Linked DNA regions of Arabidopsis thaliana. The protein of the gene in region 2 interacts with the protein of the main gene of each other region in a biochemical or structural test. Each region holds a gene or a part of one and is shown on either strand. Other genes may lie near its edges.

What was found. Proteins that work in one complex are often made in the same cells at the same time.
Region 1: the proteins of RAB6A (region 2) and GC5 form a complex in vitro, tested with the Arabidopsis thaliana proteins (one study listed by BioGRID).

Annotation. Positions count from the first base shown.
Region 1 is NC_003070.9:30,027,133-30,037,595, reverse strand, and holds GC5 (golgin Putative 5), read left to right. Parts: upstream 1-3,694; 5' UTR 3,695-3,882; intron 3,883-4,005; 5' UTR 4,006-4,087; coding exon 4,088-4,235; intron 4,236-4,694; coding exon 4,695-5,638; intron 5,639-5,717; coding exon 5,718-5,789; intron 5,790-5,917; coding exon 5,918-5,992; intron 5,993-6,077; coding exon 6,078-6,192; intron 6,193-6,337; coding exon 6,338-6,399; intron 6,400-6,477; coding exon 6,478-6,525; intron 6,526-6,733; coding exon 6,734-7,018; intron 7,019-7,113; coding exon 7,114-7,233; intron 7,234-7,308; coding exon 7,309-7,392; intron 7,393-7,494; coding exon 7,495-7,560; intron 7,561-7,647; coding exon 7,648-7,746; intron 7,747-7,828; coding exon 7,829-8,047; intron 8,048-8,276; coding exon 8,277-8,391; intron 8,392-8,467; coding exon 8,468-8,688; intron 8,689-8,976; coding exon 8,977-9,036; intron 9,037-9,122; coding exon 9,123-9,236; intron 9,237-9,324; coding exon 9,325-9,399; coding exon of another isoform or gene 9,400-9,450; and 6 more. Other genes in the region: GL2 (HD-ZIP IV family of homeobox-leucine zipper protein with lipid-binding START domain-containing protein), read right to left, coding at 1-99, 446-503. UniProt on the Arabidopsis thaliana protein: Golgi matrix protein playing a role in tethering of vesicles to Golgi membranes and in maintaining the overall structure of the Golgi apparatus.
Region 2 is NC_003071.7:18,409,862-18,417,293, reverse strand, and holds RAB6A (Ras-related small GTP-binding family protein), read left to right. Parts: upstream 1-3,140; 5' UTR 3,141-3,410; coding exon 3,411-3,527; intron 3,528-4,072; coding exon 4,073-4,143; intron 4,144-4,240; coding exon 4,241-4,329; intron 4,330-4,502; coding exon 4,503-4,614; intron 4,615-4,998; coding exon 4,999-5,089; intron 5,090-5,369; coding exon 5,370-5,516; 3' UTR 5,517-5,870; downstream 5,871-7,432. Other genes in the region: AT2G44640 (TRIGALACTOSYLDIACYLGLYCEROL-like protein), read right to left, coding at 1-8; AT2G44630 (Galactose oxidase/kelch repeat superfamily protein), read left to right, coding at 347-1,465; MTACP-1 (mitochondrial acyl carrier protein 1), read right to left, coding at 2,229-2,405, 2,783-2,974. UniProt on the Arabidopsis thaliana protein: Protein transport. Regulator of membrane traffic from the Golgi apparatus towards the endoplasmic reticulum (ER). Binds GTP and GDP and possesses intrinsic GTPase activity.

The DNA of each region.
Region 1 (10,463 bases), on a different chromosome or scaffold from region 2:
GAGAGAGGGCTGGAGAGGAGAAAAAGTCTTTGGTGGGTTGTTTGGAAGACATGTCGACGGCCATTGACATACAAATCCTGTCCCTAGCTAGCTTCTTTGCTTAATTATGATCTCTTCCCTCTTCTCCTCGCACTCCTTCTTCCTTATATATTATCTCTCTTTTTTTCTTTCTTCTTTAATTACTTATACACCAAAATGTACTTTCAATTAATATATAAGCTAAGATCGATATATATATATATATATATATATATAGCCTCTTCAATTCCAATGATACATATATATATAAGCGGTCGTTTTTCAGATATTTCTTCCATTTCTCTACTGCTCTTGACTTTTAGGTGCTTCTTTTATAATTAATTAGTTTTAATTAATTAATACCTATTATATTATTATATTTAGTCCTTTTACGGTTTTATATATTTTGGCTATACTTCAATCCGACAATTGAGTAGTTTAAAACATGGCCAGCTACAGCATTGGCAGCCATCGATCGACTTCATTTTTCTTCTTAATATTCGATTTTTAATATATACATATATATATGATGAGCAAAATTCAAATTTGAATTATGGAAAATATATCAGCCTTCCAATTTCAGCTACTAACTTTAATATGAATTATGTTGGAATGATATAAAGGATTGAGAAGAACTTGAACATATATACAATGAAGCCATATTGAAACATGAGCAAATTATCCGTTAAAAGTAGTACATAATGGCGTTGCTATAGATTACTGTAGACAGGGGGGGAAGGAATGAGAATAAGAAGGAAGGGTTACAATTGCATGATTGATTTAAGGGTATAAAAACAAAAAAGACGAACTTCTCTGTCTCTTCTTTAATTGAATTGTGTGTATAGACTAGAGAGAGAGAGAGAGAGAGACATATGTGTATGTCAGATTTCTTAATTGTTTTCTCTAGAGAGAGAGAGAGTTGACCGTTAGATACTGAGATGGACTCAACTAACTTTTAGCACCTAATTCTCCAACCGCATTTTCTGCTTTCTTCTTCCCTCCTTAATTATCCTCTCATTACTCTTATTATGACTTGTGTATTTATTTATTACTATATACTACTACTTATGATTTATTATTGTGATGATCTCTTCTTTCAAACAATTGGTAACTTATACAAAACGCTATCATCACATCTTAATTTAAGATATGGCTTAATAAGAAACCCTATCTATTAATCATATATACTTTATTATGTAAACTTGGCTCTATTAGTATAATTGCGTCAGGATTATAGGAAACTGGGACTCTGGGAGAAGCATATATATATATTTGATAAGAATTAGCATATACAATATATGGGTAAGAGAGAGTTACTAACAGTATATTGCAGCGCTACATGGAACCCTAAATTGCTTGAGACTTGTCCTCTTCCAATATTTTTATAAAAACTAATGGGATATCTATATTCCTGGATTAATCCCAATCGAATCTAATACACTGACTAGTATAGTAGGGGTATGTACGTAGCAGTATTAGGAAAACAATTAGACTAACGGTAAAGGCAGGAAAGAAGAGTTGTTGAATATAAGTTAGAAAGTTAAAAAAGAATTCGGATAGAGAAAGTTTAGAAGACGTACGTAAGCAGAGAAAATTAATTCAACAAATGTAATTCAGCAGCGGAAAGAGACGTCGAAATTTATTTTATTTTTATTTGTTGTTGTAAAAAAAGAAAAAGGTCAGCGAGAGGCATTGACCGATCGTTACTCATTAATTTCAGCGACCTTAAAAGGAAATGAATGCTCTTTATGGGTTTGCCTCCAACCCCTTTCCAATTCCTCCACCCTCTCTTTATTACTTACTTTCCTATTCACTATACGCATCTCCCTCTCTCTCTATATCCACCATATATACATTTTATAATGCCACCTGGACACATGTGTATGTGTATGTTGTTTTAATATTTGACAAAATTTGAAATTTTGATCATCTTATTGTATCACGGGCACGTCAAGATTTCAAACATTGATTCATATTATCGTATGCATACACCATGACATATTATTGCAAGATATATCTCAACAGTTACATTGTTAACAATATAGATATAGTAGCTTAAACCGTCCGTATAATACGTACGTAAATGGACGAAGACGTATAGTGAAGGAAACTTAGGTCTTTAATAAGATATATAATGGTATAACTGTAGCAGATGATTTATCTACAATTCAAAAGCTTTATCAGTTTCTTTTGTTTTTTTCTTTGTTAGTCGTCGTACGGCCTAGGGAATTGTTAGTTAGGAAAGGTAGATACATAATGTATAGAGAGGGAAGCAACCATAAACATTTACATTCACCACATGCTCTTAAATAATTAATTAATGCCTCCTAACCTCTCCTTTTGCTCTATCTATCTACTTTAATTAATTACTTGAATATATGCTGCCTATAGAGATTCCTTTTTCTTTCTTCCATTCATTCCTTTTGGCTACTGACTCTCTCTCTCTTTTTTGCTCTCGATTAATACTTCTACTTAATTAGGGTTTTGGGTAAAAAAATTCGCCCTTTTCACCATTAATCTATTACCCGTGTTGGCAAACTTCCAAGACCAGTCTTCTTTCTTTTTTGGCTTTTCTTATTGAGGGCCAATGAAAGCAACTAATTAATTTTTAAAGTAGGGTCTATCAAAATTAATTAAGACAACCCTTAAGTTGATTCCAAGATGCAGAAACTGACCATATATCTTTTCTTTTATCTCAACAAGTGACGACGATCCCTTTTAATTCACGTCCTTACAAATAACTATCTAGAAAGAGAACTGACCCACCAAAAATGGAATATGGTGATGATCTCACGCTAAAAGCAAACGTGTTTATACAAATGTGACATCGAGTGTGCACACGTACGTGTGAAGAGGGAATGATGGCATAGGAGATTGCGCCAGATAAAGACAGTGAGGACAACTAACTCCATATACTAACTTATATATAATTAATACAATGCATTTTGATATTCACTTTTTGTACAAAGGAAATGATACCATACGAGTCGTACGTTGCTAATATTCTTGGTACCTCCAAGTCCAACCGCAAAACAAAAGATGGATAGTTAGTTGGAGAGGATCAGCTGATGAAAACCAAAAGACACAGTTGTGAGAGAGCTACTAGCTAGTGAGTACCACATATATACGTATATTGGGATATATATATACCTTGAATCTTACACATTTTGCTTACATCTAAAATAGAAAATGAACCAGTAATTAGTTTTTGTTTGGATCCATAAATATCACATATATTACTTAATTATTTCATATAATTTATCACTCAAATTACATTTCTGTATACCAGTTGTAGTATTTTAATGAATAACTCTACTAGTAAATTGTAACATTCAAACAGAAATAAAAATGAAAAATGTAAATGTAAAGATATAATCGTGATCTGAAATAGGATGGTTTACAATACGTAAGAGAATACGAATGTACATCATGAGTATCAAAACAAATCAAGATTCATACCAAAAGGAAGAGAAAAAACATATCAACATATGCATAGGTTAGCGTCTTAGCGAGCGTGCGGAACCGAGGGTGCCTTGGTTTGCTGGCCCCAAAATGGGTGGGCTTTTAGGGGCCCAATATTGTTACTTACAGAGGCTAAAATGGATCCTACTGTTTTCCCTTTACAAAAACGGAGACAGGCCTTGTATATAAAAAATTCAGACCAAAGCCGCTTAGAATGAAGTAAATGATATCAAGACAGAACGTTTTTCTAATCCGCGAAACGACGCCGTTTGTACCGCCGGTGGCCGAGGGAAAAAAAAGGATTTGGATTTTGTTGGATCTAAAAAAACATAAAACACATAGGGGTGGGTCTCTCTCCTCCGGAATTCGATCACGACGGCAAGGACGACGCATCTCCTTCTCGTAAGCCATTGATGATCCCAATAGATAGCTCTATTCTGCTTTATCCAATCGCCTCGTCTTAATAATTGATTCAGTGATGTAATTGGGATCTAAACTCGATTGGTTGATTGTTTTCCTTGGAAGCCACAGGGCTGGAGATGGATCTGGTCCGGTGATTTCTGAGATTTAAGTCGATCGAGTTTCCAGATATATCTCTCAAGTAGAGATGGCTTGGTTCAGTGGCAAAGTTTCTCTGGGAGGATTCCCAGATCTCACTGGCGCTGTCAATAAATTCCAGGAGAGCGTTAAAAACATTGAAAAGAATTTCGACAACGCCCTTGGCTTCGACGACAAGTCCGATTCTGCCGCTGAAGGTGTTCTCTTCTTCTCACTTTTTTTCCAATCAATACACATAATATTATCATCCTTCCCAATAATCTGCTGTTAGTCAGCTGGGAATATAGGATTTGATTACTCAAGGCGCATTTGTTGATAGGACCTGCCATTTTTCTTCTTCTTCTTTATGTAGGATGTTTAGATCAATAATCTGCTGTTGCAATAATACAATCTTGCAAGTTATGGGATTCTGTCTTATTTTTCTTAGAACTAGCTTAGCTAGTGTGCTTCAGATTCTACCCATTGCATTTTATTCTGAATTTGAAAAAAACACTTTGTTTTGGATCTTTGCGTTTACTTGGTGACAGCTTTTTCTGGCTATGATTTCAGGGGTATTCTGTGTTTACCTAACTGTAGCACAAATCATTTTCTTCTCTAGTTTGTCTTGAGTTTCTTGTACCTTTCACAACAAAAATCCTTTTGTTCTTTCTTTTTAGATGCAGCTTCAAGTATGTGGCCACCTGCAGTTGATACCAAAAGCCTCTTTGATCCCGTTATGTCCTTCATGGGTAACACCTCTGATGAGAAACCTGATACATTGGAAGACTCTGTGCGTACAGAAAATCCGTCTCAAATTGAACAAAAAGAAGAAGAAGCTGGATCGGTTAAGCTAGCTACTGAACAAGCAGTATCTGTTGAAGCAAATAAAGAAACAAACGTGAGAAGAGAAGCTGATCAAGCAGATAATCCTGAGGTAACAGAAACTGTTGTTTTGGATCCCAAAGATGATGAACCGCAATCGCAGATACTTCTCGAAGAGTCCTCTGAATATTCTCTTCAGACTCCTGAATCCTCAGGTTACAAGACTAGTCTTCAACCTAATGAAAAGCTGGAAATGACAGCTTCTCAAGATTCACAGCCCGAGCAACCCAAGTCAGAGGCTGAGGAATCACAGCCTGAGGATTCTGAAGCAAAAGAGGTTACTGTAGAAAACAAAGACACTGTTCACTCCCCTGTGTTAGATGGACAGCATAAGATTACTTATATGGATGAGACAACAAATGAACAAGAAATTCTGGGTGAAAATCTGGAAGGGAGAACCTCGTCTAAAAATTTTGAAGTTTCACCAGATATCAATCATGTAAATAGGATAGAGTCCCCTGTTGCTCATCCGTCTTTAATTTTTGAGTCTGATGGTTCTCCTTACGAGTCTTCTATACCAAAGAGATCGTCGTCAGATGAAATTTCGGAGAGAATTGTGGATTTTGTTTCTCGTGAAATAGATTCAAGACTGGATACTAGTGAGTTAAATGAAAGCCAGCGTTCAAGCTCTGCGACAAATGTTTCCGACTCTGCTGATGTTATTCTGGAATTAGAGAAGACCAAAAAGGAAATAAAAATGTTGGAAAATGCCCTGCAAGGTGCTGCAAGGCAAGCTCAGGTACATCTTTAGATCCTCATGAAAGGTTTTGCTACGGATATGGTGCTTCTATACCAATTTTCTGGGGATTTGTTTACAGGCAAAGGCTGATGAGATTGCGAAGTTGATGCATGAAAATGAGCAGCTAAAATCTGTCACTGAGGATTTGAAGGTACAATAGAGTATGCGGAATATGGGATATTAGATGAAGGATTACTTTTTTCCCCAGTCTTCCGCCCATCTTCCTTTCATTTGGAATGATTTTGAATCTACATTCTAATAACCTCTGCTCTGGAACAGAGGAAATCTAACGAAGCTGAAGTCGAGTCTTTGCGAGAAGAATACCATCAGAGAGTTGCAACTCTTGAGAGGAAGGTATTATATCTTTTATCATTCTTCTCTTTCAATTCTCTTCTTTTCATTATATATATATATGCCTTCACAGTGCTTATCTTTGTAGGTTTATGCTCTCACCAAAGAGCGGGATACACTTAGAAGAGAACAGAACAAGAAAAGTGATGCTGCGGCCCTTTTGAAAGAAAAGGATGAAATAATAAATCAAGTTATGGCTGAAGGTAAGACAGCCTTTTGGAATGCTTGAATTATGGATCGTATTTTTCTCGTTATAAAAAAATGGTGTTGAAAGCGAACACCTGAAAAATGAAAGGACGTCATTTCTTGCTCAGCTTGAGCTCTTGATATTAATGCTAATCATTTCAGGCGAAGAGCTTTCAAAGAAACAGGCTGCTCAAGAAGCTCAGATCAGGAAGCTAAGGGCTCAGGTATATATTCAACGCTATGTGTTTCATTTTTATCAATACCAACAGTCTCATGGCAATTCTTATTTGTACGAGGGTTAGATTAGAGAGGCAGAAGAAGAAAAGAAAGGACTGATCACAAAGCTTCAGGTAATTGATTTTTTTTTTTTTGTTTCATTAACCACGTCATTAAGGATGAAACTGCCTGAAGGGGTTTTCTTGATTTCCCAGAAGCTTTTGTGAAAGGCTGGTTTGAAAATCAGTCTTCTTGTAGGCAGGATTAATATCTAAATAACTAAAGCATTTGCAAAGTTTGTTAAGCTTCTTAGCTTCATTAATTTTTCCTTTCAATTGCCAGTCGGAAGAAAATAAGGTCGAAAGCATTAAAAGGGACAAGACAGCTACAGAAAAGCTGCTGCAAGAGACCATAGAAAAACATCAAGCTGAACTTACTTCTCAGAAAGACTATTACTCAAACGCATTAGCTGCAGCAAAGGAAGCTCAAGCGTTAGCTGAGGAGCGTACCAACAATGAAGCGAGGTCAGAGTTAGAGAATCGTCTAAAGGAGGCTGGAGAGCGGGAATCTATGCTAGTCCAGGCGCTGGAAGAATTGAGGCAAACCTTAAGCAAAAAGGAGCAACAGGTTTTGTCTTCCTCGATCAAATTTGGGATAGAGTACTACTGGGATCTCATCATTTTATTTATACTCACCTAGTCGGTGGGCTCTAATTTTTACAGGCAGTGTATAGGGAAGACATGTTCCGTGGAGAAATTGAGGACCTTCAAAGACGCTATCAGGTCAAATCAAGATGTTTCGTTGTCTCTATGCATATTTCTTTCTTTGGTTATCGCCTTTTGGTTACGTTTGAACCATAATTCTAGTTACTAATAGTTTGTTCTGTTTACTGTTTGCTAAACCAACCACTCTTATAGGCTAGTGAGCGAAGGTGTGAGGAATTAATCACACAGGTTCCTGAGTCTACAAGGCCTCTCCTAAGACAGATTGAGGCTATGCAGGTAAAAAATTGACCCATATGTTTTTTCTGAAAGAACTTCTCCTGAGATTAGAATCTTAAATTAAATTGTAACATTGCATGCCTCTTATCTGATTGGCGATAGGAAACTTCATATAGAACAGCAGAAGCTTGGGCTGCTGTAGAAAGAACTCTGAATTCTCGATTGCAGGTGTTATGAACAACACTGCTCTATGCTATATTCAGCCAATTATTTTTGTTTTCTCTATCTTTTTGTTCACTTTCTAGAAATATTCAGGAAGCAGAAAGTAAAGCTGCAACAGCTGAAGAACGAGAGCGCTCTGTGAATGAACGCCTCTCTCAAACATTATCAAGGATCAATGTTCTAGAGGCCCAGGTTTTCTATGCTTTTTGACACTGTTCTTCATCAATTTTCGCAGCTTTCTCTAAATTTTAGCTTACCCAGTTCTCCTATCCAGCTTTCATGTCTCAGAGCAGAACAGGGCCAGTTAAGCAAGTCACTTGAGAAAGAGAGGCAGAGAGCAGCAGAAAATAGACAGGAGTATCTGGCAGCTAAGGAGGAAGCAGATACCCTAGAAGGTCGAGCAAACCAACTTGAAGTTGAGATAAGGGAACTTCGGAGAAAACATAAGCAAGAGTTGCAGGAAGTGCTACTCCACAACGAGCTTATTCAAAAGGTTCTACATTGCTTTATGGACATAACTTAATCTAATAAGAGTTAGTCCCATGAAAAATGCCCCATCAGTTACGGAATTTAAAGGACTGAAGTACCTAGCGAATTCAATCAAAGTAGTGCTTTCCCAAACTTTTTCATCCTGAGTAGCTTCTATTAACAACCGAACTGTTCCAGTTTATTACTCTTCTTTATTGTCCAAGTAGTTTCTCAATATGGCCTATTTTTTTCAGGACCTAGAGAGGGAGAAGGCTTCACGTTTGGATCTTGAAAGAACGGCCCGTATCAATTCCTCGGCAGTCTCTGAACAGCTTCCTATAGCAAGGCAAAATTCTGCCTTTGAGAATGGTGATGCATCTAGATCTATACTACTGCTTAATAAGTCAGGCATTGCACATCTGTAATTCATTAACTATTGCATCAGGAAGCTTGCCTAGAAAGCTATCAAGCGCAAGCAGCCTTGGAAGCATGGAGGAGAGCTATTTTCTGCAAGCTTCTCTTGATTCTTCAGATAAATTTTCTGAGAAGCGAAGCATGCCTGAGGCAACTATGAGTCCGTACTACATGAAGAGCATCACACCGAGTGCTTATGAAGCCACACTTCGACAGAAAGAGGGTGAACTTGCTTCATACATGACCCGCTTGGTAGGTGTAGAAAATATCCAACTGGGACATTTTTGTGTAACTCTGTTGGTAGGCTTTTGGCAATTGGCTTAGTAATGGGATTGAGGTTGACATCAGTCCTTACAATGGGACACTATGGGTGTTTGGATCATGTTGAGAAATTATTGGTTAGTTGCACACCGTGGTTAGCCTTCTTTTATAAGCTGGTTTAGAAGGTTTAGCTCTACTCGTCGAGGTAGTATAGGCTGGTTGTTAGTATCATCGTTATCTGTAGAATCTAACTGTAAGAGTCTATTTGCCTTTGGACAGGCATCAATGGAGTCTATCCGAGATTCCCTGGCTGAAGAACTAGTCAAAATGACAGCAGAGGTATGTATAGCGCTGAGAGTTTAGAGTTGATATTATGCTCAGTGTTATGATGATATTTCGTCTATATCTGGTAACTGTGGATGTAGTGTGAGAAGCTACGGGGGGAGGCAGATAGGGTCCCGGGCATAAAGGCAGAGCTGGAAGCACTAAGGCAAAGACACGCGGCTGCTCTGGAATTGATGGGTGAACGAGATGAGGAGGTAAGATATGTGAATAAAATAGTAGTGTATCCAGCATTAACAACAGTAGTTGGCATTGAGTTAATAAAAAAGTGGGTTTGGGTGGTAGTTGGAGGAACTTCGAGCGGATATAGTGGACTTGAAGGAGATGTACAGGGAGCAAGTGAACATGCTGGTGAACAAGGTAAGGCAAACAGACACAAGTGGAGTCAAAGTGTTGACAAACTCAGGCTAATGGGTTTGTGCAATTTTGGGTTTGCAGATCCAATGAGGGGCAAGGGAAGATGGTGTTGGCAAGCTCAGGCTCACGAGTAGGACCACCTAATCCTTGTTTCCCCAATATTGTATAGCTCTATAAGCTACCAACCTAAGCCCACTATATTCATTTGTCGTTTTGTCTCTCAGGTGTTGGTTGAACTTGAGGCTTTTTAAAACAAACTTTTGCTGCTCGAAAGAAGATTTTTCTTACAGTGAATTCGATCGTAAATTATTATTTTGGAGACGAGAATAAACTTTTGTCTGTGTGACTTATCTACGTATGTAACATGTATTGTCTGTGTAGTAGAAAAACGGTGGAGAGACCCATTAATAATGGGATTCGTTGATGTAGCAATCCATCCATATAGGAAAACTGTGTGACTCGAATGGACCCGAATGAGATATCAAAATCACAGAAATGATAGATAAAGAAAATAAAGAACAAAAAGGCCTCCGGCCCTCTTGTAAATGTTAATAAAAGCCCAAAGGCCCAAAATAGCTCTGCAATGGCTTCTCCTGTAATGAATAGTTGTAGGCTGGTTTCAGCATCAATCAATAGTCATAAAGCAGGGGAGGGATCCTTTCATCAAAAGTCTTGTACTCTTGTACATACAGCATTACTGAATTCATATATAAATGTCATTATTTCATTGGTACTAGAGTATAGTTTGCTGAGTTCCATGAAAAGAACGGTAGAGGCGAGAGCAGGTGATTAAAACCCATCCCCTGTGAACGGAGTGAGTGTAGGTGTAGCCATAAAGTTGTCGTCGCTCCTCTGTAAAAGTTTCTTCTATTCGACGATTCCTCTCGACGTTATCATATTTCCTCTCCAGGTTGGTACTATCATCATCCTTGTTCTCTTTGTTTGCATCCCTCCTTCCTTCCTTGCTTCCTTGTAGATCTGCCATTGCCTTTTTTAATCCAAATCTTATATTTCTGATTTACATTGCTTCCGTCAGATCCGACGATCTCACTTTCTCATCATCTGTC
Region 2 (7,432 bases):
TTCGCCATTTTCTTCTTCCTCTTCTTCTTTCCTTATCTCAGTCTCTCCTGTGTACGAAGCTGGGAGACAAAGGGGGTTTAAGCATTTTCATGGGCCTTTTCTTCACCCTTTAATGGGCCTTGTTTTAAAATCGATTCCTTAGAAAGATTCACTCACCGGGCTTATTCCTGGGCCTTATTCTAAAACTCTGTGTGTTTCCCTGATCAAGACAAGAAATATAAACCGGTTTTAACCGATTAAAGCAGAATCAGAGAAGAATTTAACCGGCTTTTGGTTTTTGGCTAAAGCCCTCAATTTGATTGATTCACTCAGTTGTTCTCTAGTCTCCTCCTCCTAATAGCTCTCGATGTCTAACGCCGACGAACCACCGCAGAAAACCAACCAACCACCGTCGTCTTCATTGACGCCGCCGTCATTGTTCTCACTCCCGGTGGACATCGTATTGAACATCTTAGCCTTGGTACCAAAACGATATTACCCAATCCTCTGTTGCGTCTCCAAGTCCTTGCGGAGTCTAATTCGCTCGCCGGAGATTCACAAGACGCGATCTTTACACGGAAAGGACTCTCTTTATCTATGCTTCTCGACCAGAACTACATACCCGAACCGGAACCGGACGACTTTTCACTGGTTCACTCTCCGGAGGAATGATAACAAGATGAATACGACTGAGAATGTCTTCGTCTCCATCGATGTTCCTTATCGTCCCGGGCATGCTTCTTACCCTCTTTCCAATATCGCAATTGATACAGAGATTTACTGCATTCCCGGATATAATTTTCCCTCATCATCAATCGTATGGATCTTTGACACCCAATCTGGACAGTGGCGTCAAGGACCTAGTATGCAAGTGGAGCGATTATCAGCTACCGTAGGACTAGTCGGTGGTAAGATCTATGTGATCGGAGGCAACAGAGGCGAAGAGATCCTAGCGGAAGTATTTGACTTAAAGACACAAACTTGGGAAGCAGCGCCGATTCCTAAGGCAAAGGATAGAAACGAATGGTTCACGCATGCAAGTGTTTCACTTGATAGGAAGGTTTATGCTTTAAATTCGAGGGAATACATGAATTCTTACGATACTAGAGATGGTTCTTATCAAAGATATACGATACCTGAAGATAATTGGTGGAAGACAGGAAAATGCGTGATTGACAATGTGCTCTTCGTTTACTTCCTTAGATTTGGGTTAATGTGGTATGACTCTGAGCTGATGTTGTGGAGAGTGGTTTATGGTTTAGATCTTGACAAAGCTCGATGCATTGGGATCGGGGAATACTACGGAAAGTTGGCGTTTATATGGGGAAAACCAAGTAATGTTAGTGAAAGCAAAGAGATTTGGTGTAGAATGATTGGCTTGCTTAGGAGTGAAGTAGGAATTCATGGAACTGAAGAACCGTCTCAACTTCTCAGAATCGTTCCTAACAACTATAGTTTGCGCCATTGTCTGTCTCTTTCGGGTTAAACTTAATCAAGAGATATATTGTTGACGTTAGATGTTTATTTAGTCTTTCTTTAGTCATTATGATCAATATCACTACAATGTGTTTACAAGATTCATTGCTGTTGCGGTTTCAGCATCTTGCTTTGTTCCTTCCACCCTATCCATTTTGCATAATTAGCTTAGCAAGTTTTTAATATTGTAAGTTCACCCATTTTGTCCCATTTACTAAAAAATCGATTCAAACGAAACCTGAAATGTATCTCCTAATTAAAACATCTAACTTGTGGATAGAGATATTGGTGTATTTTGGTACAAATGCTGTAGTTGAGATGAAGCAGAAAACTTGTCCAAATGAAAACTACTGTCTGTATTCGATCCAAAAGATGGCTGACAAACAATTCTAGTTAATAGCACGTTATGATGTAATGTAGTATATAAGATCCAATTTCTTGGTCTTGCATATGTATCCAAGAGAGACGATCAGTTTTTTAAAACAAGTATGTTTTTCAAAGATTCGTCTTCAATGTATGATCAAGACCATGCTAAGAATCAAGTGTATTATATACAAATCGTATTAAAGTATTAACTCAAGAAAAAGTGTCAACTTTCACAAGATTCAAGCAAAAAGGTTTTCTTTTTAAGAAACTGGAACCGTTAAAAGAGTCAATAACAATGCTCTCCAAATAAAAGTGATTTTTTTGCAAATCCCATTATGGCATTATCAAAGAGAGAAGAACCTCATACAAGAAAAAGGAAGGAGAAACCATGAGAGAGCACACAGCGATTAGCTAGACATTGGATGATTGTAAACGTATTCAATGGCGAGAGAGCAAGAATCGATCTTGTCAGCTTCTTTGTCTGGAATTTCCAGCTTGAATTCCTCTTCAATAGCCATCACTATCTCCACTGTGTCCAAACTATCTAATCCCAAATCGTTTTGGAAATGAACCTCAGGAGTCACCTGTCGATATTTATCACAAAGCCATCAACAAAAATAACCCTAACCAAACAACCCTTATTAGAGAGAGTTGATGAAGGATTCATAAATGCAAAATCCATAAGAATGACCATATCAAATCAAATCCATAGGAACAACAACACGATAAGCTACACTTACTAAACCACATTGAGATCAATAACCTTCAATTTACTAACAACACTAATGCAACATCGTTTCAGATACATTTGGTCTCTATTTCCACTAGATCAATACGAAATCAACCAAAAGCTCCTACATTGACAAATATTCAAGGCAAAATAATCATTTTGTTCCCAATAATGAGGAAAACAAAAGATAAGAATCACGATTTGGCCAAATTTTATGAAGATCGAGCTGACCTTAGAGGGATCGACTTTGGGGAAGCTCTTGACAACATCGAGTACTCTATCGACGACAGCTTCTCTGCTAAGATGATCATCGTGCGAAGAAAATGACCGGATCGTACCAAGGAACCCAATTTTAGACTGATTCAATCCTAGGGTTTGCACCGGAACCCTCAGGTGACGAAGAATTGCATTTCTCAGTGCCATTTTCGTCTCTTTCTTCGAGCTCGAGAATTAGGGATTTGATTTGATGAGAGAGACACAGAAGAGTCAAGTAGCCAAAAGGGGCAAAAATAGTTCAGGTCATACGAGATGACACGTGCCCCCTACTATAAGGCTAGCCCAAATCCTTACGTGGGCTTATAAATGCTGCCCATAATGTAGTAAATTCCTTAATCAGCTTCTAAGTTTTTATATATTTTGTAACTTATCTCAAATAGTTTCTAATTTAACATAAATGACCCAATTGGGTCACTCGAGGAATAAACTGCAATTTACGAATAACAAACTCTCACTAATACAGTATTTGCAATTCCAGAGCGACGGGATCTCTCTCCGGTAAATATCGGAAACTTTTATTCTCAGCAAAGCGAGATCTCGACGTTTCTCAGATCCGTCCGGCGAGTTAGATCCTTGAGAAATCATGGCTCCGGTCTCGGCACTCGCTAAGTATAAGCTGGTGTTTCTGGGAGATCAATCCGTCGGCAAAACCAGTATCATTACTCGATTCATGTACGACAAATTCGACAACACTTACCAGGTAAATTTCCATTGTTCAAATCTAGGTATTATCTCGACGATGCACGACGTTTGCTTCTATTTTGAGGGATTATAGTCGGGAAAATCCCAGGGTTTGATTGATTTTGAGATCCGTTTTCATGGACGGGAATCGTGTTTTTCAGTTCGAAGTTCTTACTCGTTTACGTGATCGGGCGTTTGGTTTTGCGTAATTATGTGTGATCTGATTTGTAGATCGTGTTTTAGTCAATGTATAGGACGTAACAATCAGCTGAATGAGATTTTGGCATCGTAATCGCTCACTCTCGTTTATTGTACAAAGTCGAGAATTCAGTCCAATAGAAGATCGCAGTAACACTAATATGAGGATGTTTCTTTGATCATGTTATCATTGTTTATCTAATCGAATTAGTTCTCAATTGATGAATGAAAGCATCTGATCTTGTTCTGTGATTATGAGAATTACGTTTAAGCTCCTAATAATATGTGAACCATGCTTGCTTATCGTCATTTTACAGAATGTTCTTCCTTTTCTAAGTAGTTTTTATGTTGTTTCATAATCATCAGGCCACAATTGGTATTGATTTTCTATCAAAGACAATGTACCTTGAAGATCGAACGGTCAGACTTCAGTTGTGGTAAGATCTTGAGCCTCTTTCAATTTTCGAATACTGAAGAATAACATTGCAGATCATTTTTTGATGATTAACATCGAGAGCCGAAATCATATGACAGGGATACAGCTGGGCAAGAGCGATTCAGGAGTCTAATTCCGAGCTATATCAGGGATTCCTCCGTTGCTGTTATTGTGTATGATGTTGCAAGTATGTGTACCTTCACTCGTTCTCTCAAACACATGAATATTTTCCCATATCTGAGATCTTGGGGATGTGGTTTTCAGTAATCTTATGAATTTATGCGTTTCGATTTCTTCTTTATGTTGATCCATTGTGCGTTGTGAAACTCGAGATTTATTTTGTTTTCCACTGACATATAGGCAGGCAGTCCTTCCTAAACACTACTAAGTGGATCGATGAGGTTAGGACAGAACGTGGTAGTGATGTCATAGTCGTGCTTGTGGGAAACAAAACTGATCTAGTGGACAAAAGGTAATAATGATCTACCATCTCTTCCTCTACTTGTTTCTTGTTAAACCATGATGTGCAAATTACTGTTCAATAGCAATTGAGACTGAAATTTGGTAGTCCTCCTTGTTTAAACACGCTCTGATTTCGTAAGTATGTTGACAAGACGAATGGGTGTCTTTTTTGTTTTACTCAAGTACAAACTGTTGTTAAACCACGTCTTACTTTTCTGGTGGTATTGAGTATGTTGCCAAACGACCCTACAAGATAATAAATGGAAAATCATTTGCTGCTCAACTGCATATCTTTACAGGGTTTCTTTATAGTCAACACGCTTTGACACTTGATGGTGCCTACTACATTTGTTACTGCCAATTGGGCCTTTGTATTAAATATTTTGTTTCTCAGGCAAGTGTCAATAGAGGAAGCAGAAGCTAAGGCACGCGAACTTAATGTAATGTTCATCGAAACCAGTGCCAAAGCGGGCTTCAACATTAAGGTAACAAAGATCTTGGCTTGACACATTTCTGAGGGTTTCTTGCACAACAAAAACTTGCTGCTTAGTTCAACTAAGCCCTAACTTTGTTTAGTTCCATCAATATTCAATAGTTAATTAACCTAGACTTATAAATTTTTAACCCAACCTGCTGATTATTACATCCTCCTCATTTGTATGGATCTTTCACTGATACTCTCTAAACAATTACCGCAAATCCATAACGCTATCACTCCGTGCAAATCTTGTTTTCTTATGATTTCAAACCTTTTTGTATTGCTAGGCGCTCTTCCGCAAGATAGCAGCAGCTTTGCCGGGAATGGAGACATTGTCTTCAACAAAGCAAGAGGATATGGTTGATGTCAATCTCAAGTCTTCCAATGCAAATGCATCTCTCGCTCAGCAGCAATCAGGAGGATGCTCTTGTTAGATTTGGCAACAACAACACAACAACAAATCGATAGAGAACAACAAAACACACTACTAAAAAATGTCCTCAAGCCCCTTTGCATGATTCGATCAGTTATCGTCTTCCATCTGTAAAATTTTTGCCTGTTTTTCAACTTTTTTTCTTCATCGGATTGTTTTTAAAGAAGACTCTGTTTTAGCTATGGTTTGTCCCTAACTGTGATCTTTTGTGGTCTTTGGAGTTTCAAATGCTCGCTGCTTCAGTACTTTTGTTTACTTATTTCTCAAAACTGTGATTTGTCGGTCTATGAATTTAATTATGTATAACTGTGAGCTGCTAGGTAATAAAAACTCTCATTTCGTTTCGTCTTTCCATGTGATAGTCTGATAGAGAAAGAAGCACAGCATTTTTAATCTTTGACCCATAAAGAAACAGATAATTAATTTCGTACACATGTCGTTAGTTCAGATCACTTAAATGAGCTAATTAAATTCAAAGTCTCACACTGTTCCCAGGTATTTTTCTCCAGTTCCACCATGTCCCTAAAATTAAGCTTCTCTCATCGTAAAAAGCTCTGGTGGGTTAATGCAGTTGGAGTATACTCAGCAATTCTATCCCAAATAATGTGTATACTCACTTAATCAGCAATAATCACTCGTAACGATTTTATGGAACTAAGTTAGTGGAATGAGTTTTTTTGTAATTACTTATTATGAATTTATGACATATCCTTTTGAAAAAGAAAAAAAAAAACAGAAACTTGTACGATTGTTTTTCTTTCATTGCAGCTGAAAAGTATTGTCATATTTTTGAATAGTCCAACCAAGCTATTTGAAAATTTTAATGACACTATATTTCATAATTATATTGTCATCAATCAAATCCTCATACATAGTACCAACTAATAGCTAAAAATTACATAACACTTGTGCTTTATTTGAATTTTCCCACTAACTCATCAAACGCATAATTCGCAATAATGACCATAATTAAAGATAGACCCCTTCAAAAAAAAAAAAAAAAGAATGAGTAAGTTGAAATCAATGAAGATGTAGGTGAGAGGAGATGGTAGAGCCACGAAAGAAACACTATTTCAATTCTCCCCTCTCCAACAAAAGCCCCCATTCATTAAATGCCAACTTCCCTTTTATGACCGTTAATGCTCTCTGTAAGATGACAAATTACAAATAAGTCCTCAGAGTCATACTAGTCTAATTTTCGTTATATTTATAATACTCTTTCACGACTATGGACCCATGGAATTTAAATCTTAAATTGGTCCTACTTCCGTATATTTGTATTAAACTCTTAGTCTTTACTCTTTTTAAACCTTTGAAACTCTCTTAGACGGTACTTGGATCTTCATAAAAGTCGTCTATCTTTCGTCGAAATTGAGACCTATGTTATTAGATCTATATGCCCACTTTTTCTCTAGCTTTCTTTATTAGGTTTTTCATGTGTCTGGTTAGTAAGTGAGACTAGTAAATTGGATTTGTGAATGGTTCTTTTTGACTTTGCCAATGTCTAAGACTTAAGTGTTGTCAGATTTTGTTTCTCTAGATTAAGAGAAACACAAGGGTATGTGTCACATTTATTATCACCAACAAAGCATTGATTTTTTTTTTTTTAGATTTGAAAACTTCAAAAATAATAGCAATGTATTACAATTCTGACATGAACTAGTCATAGGTTTACTTCTTCTACTATCTGTCATTTTTTGATGTGTACACCCAAAAATTCTCATAAGAAAAAAAGAGATACACATTAGACTATCCAAAGAAAAAGAAAACACACGACATTGTTCTCTTCTAATCTCCTAAATATAAAAACGAATATTTCTTCCTTTAATATACAATCACAAAACATTATAATATACTGTAATGAATAACCAAAAAAAAAGTAAATTCACTCTTTATCTGTTGGTATAGTAAAGCCAC